2 linked regions of the Caenorhabditis elegans genome follow. The protein of the gene in region 1 interacts with the protein of each later gene in a pairwise test. Each region holds a gene or a part of one and is shown on either strand. Other genes may lie near its edges.

Region 1 (4,308 bases):
AAAAATTATTCCAGAATGTACATACACTTGTTCAAACCAGGGGTAAGAATTGCCGTCCAGCAATTCTATAACATGAGCCAGTGTGACATGTTTTTCCAAGAATATAAATTTCTAAAAAAAATTTTCTTCATCTGAAAATAACCTGGAAATATTAAAAAAGTGCTCAAAAATGTCCAAATGTTGGAAAATGCCGGAAAAGTATTCTACCATTTGTGGGATTTTTCCAGCAAGTTTTTTTCCCGGCAAAACTTTATTCACAAGTGCACGAGCATCATTATATTTATTAAACAAAATTAACCTTAAACAACTTTTTAACATACCAAAGTTCAATTTAAAATTATCCTTCTTATCGACAAGAAAGGTGTTCAACTGATGTTAACAGAAAAACTTCACCATAGAACACACGAGGGGAATCATTGAAACAGATTGGCTGAGAACGTGTGGTAACAGGTTCCCAAATTGCGTCAACATCATCATAATTTGACAACAAAATTCTTCAGGTGATCACATGGCTCTCAACTGAGACCTATCATCCACCGGCGAAGCTCACACCAAATATGGTGGCGGAAATTCTTGAGCTTTCGGATATGATTGTACCACTGGAAGTTAGCCCGCTTTTCCCAACAATTGAGAAGCACATGATGGAAGAACTTGTTCAGGTGAGCTACAATATTCCAGAAACCCATATTGATGTAGTTTTTGCAGAACTATGAGGACTTGCACTACATCAAGCAGATGCTCCTGGTTACTCACAACAGCAGGATCACAACCTTGCTTGGATCATGTCAGGCCACAATCATCAGCTTTCACTTCGATGATTTCATCAAGGACATGCGGGAGAATGTAAGTTGTTACAGGAGAAACTTCTGCTTGCTTGCCTATCTTGAGAGTACTGAAAAGTTACATTTTACAGCCAAATCCAGCGTTCACAGAACTTGTTGAAGATCACGTTTGGCGCAGGGAACGTACTAGTGTGATGGTATACATTTACTGAGTTCGTGACAAGACCCAAAATATATAATTTTCAGAGCTCACTTCTCAAAACCTACGCAAAAAGTCAGTGTGTCCGTAGCTTCGTGAGAAAAGTGGCGCCGGTGGAGCAACAGGACTAGAATGTGAACTAGATTCGAGATTTATTTCAATAAAATAGTGTTCAGAAAATATGTGTTTTTTGTCACAGCTACATTTATCACAGCTACTTTCACTTTCTCAGAGTTTTTCATCTATGCTCCGCTTTTTTCTCACAGATTTTCATGTCACAAGTTCTGAAAACCACGCCCGTGGCTGAAGAAACTCCTAGACCACGCACTGTGTAGTCCTCTCGGACAAGTAGACCGAAAATTATTAAAATTAAATTTTCTTTCTCATTTTGTGTTTTTAAGCTAATTAGACATTTTTTCGATTGTTCTGATTTAAAAAAAAATTAAAAATCAGGCCGAAAAAATATTATACCTGAAAATTTTAAAAAAAAAGTGATCTCAAAATTGTTAAAACACATTTTTGATCTACCAGCCGGCTGCCAAACTCTGTCTTCCCGCAGCGTTCGGTATTATTAAACGTTCTTCTCTTTTTAGTTTTCTCCTCTTCACGAATCCATTAATTTATTTTTTTCAGATCCAACGGAAATGCAGCTGAGAAAGAAGCTGCACGAGGCAATTGTCGATGGAGAAGAAGATGACTGTCCGAAGCGCAAAATTGTTTGTTTTAACCAACAGTTTTGATATATAATTGATTATTTCTCATTTTGCAGAAAAAATTGGACATTCAAGTCGACGCTGCCACCAAAGTTTTCAGCAACCAGCACATTCTCCACGATATCATCGAATACACGGTTGATGGCGACAAATCGATTTTGGATAATTTGCGATTGCGGGTTTAGACAATATCAACACAAAAATAAATTAATATATTTCTTTCAGTTAGTGAGCAGATCATTCAACAACGTGGTTCTCAGCAAAGTTCGTGCTGAATTTAAAATGGTGCAGGTGTGTCCGTATCAGCAGCCGGAAGGAGCAGATGAAAAAGAGGAACCAGAATATGATGAGTCAAATGATATTGAAGATCGATCATTTATGATAAATGACCGGAGGACGTGGTTCTCCCAAGTGCCCAGATTCTTCGAGTTTGTGGAAATCTTCAATTCTTCAAAAATTTATATTTTTCCAGATTTTTAAATTCAGTGGCTCGAATTCGTGTTCGCGATCTCCTCTTCTCTGGATTCACTTCTCCAGATCAACGTATTCACGAGTGCATTTTATACAGCCTGCTCGACGGAAACTGGTATTCGCTGAATTCGTACAAAGGCGCCGACGAGCTGTGCAATGGATGTGCAGTGTGCTCGGAAATTGCTTCCCGTGTGAGCATCTACGGTCCTGTGCAATTTTGTACATTAATTAACCCGATTCTGGGAAAAAAATCGTATGAACAATTGATTGTTACCGAAATGTAATTTAAATTTTTCAAAGAGTCGTGAATTTTATACGAATTTTCAGATTATTGGCAGAGATTGCTCTTCATTGCGTTACAATGGTTGGAAGCAGAGAAGAAGCATTCAGTCGTCTCACCAAAATGATTACCCAAGATGTTAACTGTGATCAACTGGATCTTGTGTTCTCTGACAGATGTATGTGGTCAAAGGGTACATTGGCTCATCCTCGAGAGGTTATTGACAGGATTGTCAAAGCTTGGCGTGTTAAATCAATCAATATCCGTTTCATGACGGAATACTCTTCAATCGATCATGAGATGTGGTCGAATAAAAGGATCTTCACAGAAATGCGATTCGATGAGATGTTTGTGACGGATCACAATATTATAAGACCTCGTCACGAGCGGGATCACTTCGAACGCGTCGAAGTGGACATGCAGGCCGGCGATGAGATTGCCACGTGTTTTGCGGAATCGATGGGAATGTTCGAGCAGAGTGGGATGTCGGCAACTGCATTTCAGAACGTTTGCGCCAACGTCAAGCGTATTTTCCCAACGCAAGATATGTACCTCATTCTGCCGACTGAACTGGCTCACGTGGCTTCTGTCGAGTTTGACGGTTTCTGTAAGGCACTTCTGGAGTTTGCGTGGAAGGATGAGAGGACTGCTAGACACTCGAGACTCTTCTTCCGGCTTTACACATTCGGAATAACCGAGGAGCAAGTGTTGAGGCAAACAGAAGTAAATCAAATTTCAGATAATTGCTCTTAATTTCTTTGATTTCTAATTGATAATAATAATAATAATAATAATAATAATAATAATAATATTTCAGAATCAATTCAAAATCAACTGCCGACCAGTGGCTGCAATGCTGTCCGACTCATCCGTCCGACGCTCCTTCCTCCAGTGGCTACCGGGCTCCACGTCAACCTTCGACCGTTCACTCCTCTCCTTCACTGATGTCTGGAACAATTGTGTTCTCCATCTGGAAGTGTGCATTGAAGCCGATTGTTAAAGTTTTTCCCATCCTCTTTTAATCTCAAAACAGTAATTACCATAACTAGACCCTCGATTTTAACCATTTATAACTGATGATTTCTTTTTAATTTTTAAATCATATTACACCCAGCCTCACCCATATTAGAATGACCTCCCCCCCCAGCATAGTTCACCCATCTTCCTGTGAATAGTAATCATTCGTTCTCTGAGTATAATAAAACTTTATCGCCCCCTAAGTTTTCATTTTGCCCATCCACATTCCCTCTACTGATTGTTTATGAATTTGTCGTTGAGTTTTTATTTTCAGAATCAACTAAATAAATACAAATTTTTTATAAAAAATCTACATTTTATTTATACATTCTCAATAGAAACACCCGTAAGAACAAGAATATGTGTATGTGAACAAGAAAACAAAAAATTATACATTGCTCCATATTTTAAGATTCCGGAAGCGTTCGATCGTGTCCAGGAACATTCTAAAAATCGAAACATATTTGGGTCTCTACACGACATTTTTTCGTGAAGCAAAAACGTTCAAAGAACCAAGTGGGCGTGGCCAAACGAGACTCCGAATTCCGCTTGGCAGTTTACAGTGCTGTTTTGACATAGAAACCCCTATTTTGCCGCTTTTGTACCAATAATACCGTAACTGGTCTCGACACGACAAATTTTCATTAAATGCAAAATGTTGTGCGCCTTTAAAGATTACTGTAGTTTCAAACTTCTGTTGCTGTAGTATTTTTATGGATTTTTCATAGTTGTTCATTAATGAATAAACTAGGTAGCTATATATATAAAATGAACTAAAAAAAACTAAAATTTAAACAAATCTTGAGAAAAATTGAATAAAATCGATGAAAATTAAGCATTAACGAA
Region 2 (5,054 bases), on another chromosome or scaffold:
CTAGCGTCTTTAAGAAGGCATGTCAAAATCTACTGGAAACACAATAATCAAAATTCTTCGAATTGATCTTTATAAAAAAACATCCAAAAAGTAAATAAATCCAACATATGTCATGATTCCAACCGTCTGTCACCATCTCTTGTCATCTCATACTTCCCGCACGTGTTCCCAGTCGGCACCTCGTCAATCAGCTGCCTTCTTCTTCTCATCTAACCTGATACCCAAAATCTCATTATTCATAGTCTGTTTCCCATTGAATGACAGACAACTTGTGTCCATCCATCCATTCAATATTAAACTGCTTCTTCTCTGTGGACGGAATGACGAAAAGAAATATGTGCTCATCATTATTCGAATTTGATTCGATTCGCTTCCACTCATCGACACGCAATCGTCCGTGTCATTTGGAAAACCAGGGGACAATATAATTGAAACAATGCCGACATTGGAATAAAATTTGCATATTTGAACAGGCGAAAAATCACCGAGATTGGTGGCGCCATCTGTGCTCTAGAGGACGCCTAACAAGGGTTCATAAAAATTTCATACTTAACATAGAAAAAAGAGCAAAATCAAAAGGATATGATTAGTTAATTATCAACGATTGTGTGGTACGGGAGATGATTGGATTATGTATAAGGGGATCAGGGGGCAAGAAATAATCGAATTTATGAACCTCTAAGTACCCGTGGTACACGAAAATTATGAGAAAAAATAAAAAATAAAGCGAGATGGTGGGGGGAGCAACTAGAGACACTATTATGGGTTATAAATGACATATGAATTGGCAACTTTAAGCATAGTACAATAAGAACAATAATTGTGGCTCTCTCTATAACAATAAATATAAAGTTAGAATAAACATTAACGGAATGAAGAAGAATTTAAAGATCCTCTGGAGCATCCTTGATCAATTCGAGTTCTTTAATTGAAGATTTCATGTTCTCCTTCTCATCTTCAGATGAAGACTCGGAATCTGAAGTCTCCGAATCCGCAGCAGTGTCTTCCGATTCCGAATATTCAGTAAATTCTGGAGATCTTGGCTCAGAACTTTCAGACGAGCCAACCGATTGTGTATCTTCACATGTTTCTGATGACGCTCCATCGACAATCGATCGTTTTTTCGGATATTTTGAAACCGATTTTTCTGGAGCATCGCCGTCTTCCAGTTCCTGGATTCCAGCTTTTTCGAGAAGCACCAAAATTAATGGGAACATTTCCACGAAATCATTGATTTCCAGTGGATCCTCGATACTTGCCTGAAAGATATTTTTTCAATTTTAAAACTTTTTTAAACAGATTTCTGGAAGTTTACTTTGTAAAACCCAATAAAAATGGAAAAGCGGGGGAAAATATCGTGTTCGTTGCCTAATAATGTTTGATTTGGCACTATTTTTGGTTTTTTTCTTAAAATAAATAAATTAAATCAAAAATAATCAACGAAAACAGGTGGAAATCAATTATTTCAGCCAGCTACTGTAATCTCCTTTGCAAAATTGATTCTTCTCCTCGGGGACTACACAAGATGCGTAAATCAACAATTCACATTTTCTTATTAACCTCAATCTCAGTTTGTTCTTGCTGCTGCTCATCGTCGGGAATCGGTTCTCCAGTGACCGGATTGAACTGATAAGAGCTCTTCAAACGAACTTCTTCGTCAACAATCAGCGGCGGATGTTCATCCAGAATCTTTGTGACTGGAACAGACGTCGGCCGATGTCTTATCAGTGAGAAATCACCCAAACATTCACAAACGAGTCCTTCGTGCTGTCGAACATCTGGAAGTGACATTCGAGAACGCCCTGTCACGTGGTCGACTTGAACAGACTGAAAAAGGAGAAATACATTTATCGAAAACTGAAAATCTCTCACAATTTGTCTCATTTTCGTCTTGGCATCTGAGTTACACGGTTTCAGGCAACAGAATTTCACGATAATTGACACATTCGGAGTGTGCGGTGAGTTGATTGTGAACGACGACACGTAGGATATTCTCGCCTGACGAATTTTCGATTCAATTTCCATAAATGAATCAATGGCGCCTCGCAGTCGTCTCTCAAGTTTCTCCTGAAAATCAATTAAATAACTATTTTTTAGAAAAAAAAAACTATGCTGAATTTACATTTCTCGAGTGAACAATAGCGTAGACGTAGTCAGAATGCATCTTAACTCCTTTGAATGTTGCGTATTCTTCAATAAAGTCGTACAAAGATTTCAGTGAGACAACACAATCTCTGAATTCAACTCTCAGAAGAGTATCCCTTGAACAGTCCTCTCCAGACCGGATCATATACTTGAAAAGCGCTTCAAAGTTATCGACTGACCAGCCATTTGTCAAATAATACATGTTCGGTGGCCGTGTGTCTATCTTTTTGATGCATTGTTTCAGAAACAGCATCTGTTGGTCTGAAATTCAATAAAATAAACGATAAATCATTTAAAATAGTAGAAAACCAATTGGATAATCGGGTCCCGGCTTGAAACAAGCACGATCGTTCCCGTTATCAGCGTCGGTTTCTCCGGTGATCTCGTTTCCATCGTAGATGATATTCTGAAACTTTGGGAGCGGATTAAAATAAATTAATCATTCGAAAATAACCTTCAAATCGAAATCTATTTCTTCTGTCATTCTTCTTATAACGTTCAGATCTCCAGAGGACAGTCTTCGCATGCGACGACGCAAGCTCTGAGCGGTTTCGGAGATTATCGGGAAATTGGATGAATCTTCCTGGAAAATCATTGAAATTTGAATGTTCAATGAGATAAATAACACTAACAAGCCCGTAATCTTCTTCATAAAGCGTTGTCTCCTGAATAAGTGCAATTCCGCCGCCGTTTGGTAATGTGATCGGTTCAACAGTCGCCTGTGCCACTATTGTGCCAATTTGTTCGTTGGGATCCGAGAGAATTCGCTCGAAAGTCAGCCGGTTGCAATCGCGAAGTTTCACTGGATTAGCTTTCTGAAAATAACACAAATTAATTTCGATTTATTGTAAAACGACACGAAACCTTTGAGAAAATGCTTCTCCAACGAGATCTTACTCGCGAGAACACTCCGTTCTTCTCGTTCTTCTCCATTTTTACCTGTAAACATTAGAGGTTGATCAAATAAGGGAACTATGCTTAAAAATGAAGAAAAATGAAAAGAACGGAGCAAAAAATCAAAATCAAAGTACAATGAGGAATTGGCGGGTGAGAAAGGGGTCAAACTCGAATTTTCAGTTTTCAGAGCGATTGTAAAGGAAAAGCTGAGTTTGTACATCAAATTTAACTGAGATCAGCACGTTTTGTAAGCTATAAAAAAGGAAAATGTGAAAAAATCAGCTGAAAAGTGGAAAATGAGGTTTTAAAAATACAAGTGAAAAGCGGGCGCTTGCTGTCGTACGATTCAATGTTTAGTCCGCAACGGTGTATGCACGCCCTGTGAAATACCGTACTCGTTTGAAAATTTCAATTTTTCTGCAATTGCATGCAAACGTTGGTCAAACCCCCTTGAGAATATGGATAAATACACAAAAACTAATTTAATTTTTTACGCATTTCAAGGAAGGAACGACAAAATTCATGCCATCTGGAAAAATATATACATCAATCCGGAACATTTTCTTTCATGTCATTAACTCATCAAACCTATTCTTTTTCCAACAGTTTTCTCATTTTTCCAATTATTCCTTCTCCTCATCATTTCCCTCAATTAGCCATTCGATCCCGATTACTTTCCACTCTTTTCTCTGTCATTCTTGCGGTGCCGAACCGAACAATAACAATCAAACACATATTCTCTTCTTCTTTTTCAAAATGACCTTCAACTGTACCTCCTTTTGGAAACAAAAAAAAGTTGAATTGGCTTCAATTTATTTACAGTTTTATTTGATTGAAAACTTATTTTGTAGCATTTTTTATTGGTTTACACAGTCTGATTATGGCATTCCTTTAAACTATTGTACATGTGCTCTTGTTGCAATAATGTTTAAAATTTTGAAAAATTTGGCATTAGCCTGCAACCTTTATCAATTACATAGAGAACTCATTTCAATACATTCAAAAAAATGATCAGCTTCTGCAAAAAGTTGTTATTATCTAACCTTATTAATCTTCTTAGTAAAAAAAGTTTGCCAGAAACCTAAAATGAAAAAATATATAATTATGATGCTTGATGAAACGTTCTAGCAATGACTTGGCTTCAATGACTCAGCAAATTGCCTAATAGTTTTAGAAAAAGCGTCCTATAATAAAAGTGTCCATGGATATCAGTGGAATTGGACTAATCAATTATATTTGTTGTTATCAAAAATCTGAAACGGGAAAAAAATTTAAGGCATAAATTACTGTGAACCATTGCTTTTATTTTTTTATCTACATATGTACGTCAAACGATTCCTGTTTAGATTTACTCTTTCATCTCTCAGATTTATTTTTAAAGTTTAATAAAAATACTGAAAACTTTTTGATTTCTTTTCTACATCTATTTCCAGATTCTTTTCGAGCATATCTTGCTTCACTAAGTTATCTTAAATTTTTGAATGATAACCGAAAGTCAATTATATACTAGTCAATTATATTTATAACAACATCAAACGAATATTATTGTTAACATCTACATTTAAACTTGTTAAATTTAGACAACCCTAAGTTCACACAGAAAGGGTTATATGTATTGAGGCTTTTGTATACTTTAGGAAATATATAAATAACTGACCTGCAACATCTTTCAGATTTTAAAAATTTTTTATCATGGTTCACTAGGTTTTCTTAAAGGCTGTATGGTTTATTTCAAAATGTTCGATACAGAAATGTCAAACAATCTTTTTAGAAATTATTTGGAGAGACTCGTATGAAATTCGGTTTTCCTGGCTATTTTGGGTATGGTTAACAAAGAACCTTTTTCTCCAACTTCTTGGATTTTTTTTTTGAATTTTTTGAGGGCATCTCATGTTGACCTTCAAACACTAGCCACCAAAATTATGTGAAATTTCTTTTTGATTCTAAAAAAAATAATTTTTATCATGTTTCACTAGGTTTATTTATACAGTGTAAGAATAACGTCGTAATTT

The links. The genes of interacting proteins can lie anywhere in the genome.
Region 2: the proteins of C27D9.1 (region 1) and oops-1 interact in a two-hybrid assay, tested with the Caenorhabditis elegans proteins (one large-scale study listed by BioGRID).

The regions. Positions count from the first base shown.
Region 1 is NC_003280.10:4,751,831-4,756,138, forward strand, and holds C27D9.1 (F-box domain-containing protein), read left to right. Parts: upstream 1-1,582; 5' UTR 1,583-1,625; coding exon 1,626-1,697; intron 1,698-1,750; coding exon 1,751-1,873; intron 1,874-1,919; coding exon 1,920-2,122; intron 2,123-2,166; coding exon 2,167-2,445; intron 2,446-2,492; coding exon 2,493-3,168; intron 3,169-3,262; coding exon 3,263-3,445; 3' UTR 3,446-3,773; downstream 3,774-4,308. Other genes in the region: F41C3.1 (Exocyst complex component Sec8), read left to right, coding at 558-659, 706-843, 914-979, 1,029-1,112; C27D9.2 (TransThyretin-Related family domain), read right to left, coding at 3,851-3,908.
Region 2 is NC_003282.8:5,811,057-5,816,110, forward strand, and holds oops-1 (OOcyte Partner of Spe-11 (oops-1)), read right to left. Parts: upstream 3,087-5,054; 5' UTR 3,079-3,086; coding exon 3,010-3,078; intron 2,961-3,009; coding exon 2,778-2,960; intron 2,729-2,777; coding exon 2,600-2,728; intron 2,558-2,599; coding exon 2,455-2,557; intron 2,407-2,454; coding exon 2,123-2,406; intron 2,068-2,122; coding exon 1,873-2,067; intron 1,828-1,872; coding exon 1,561-1,827; intron 1,260-1,560; coding exon 885-1,259; 3' UTR 527-884; downstream 1-526.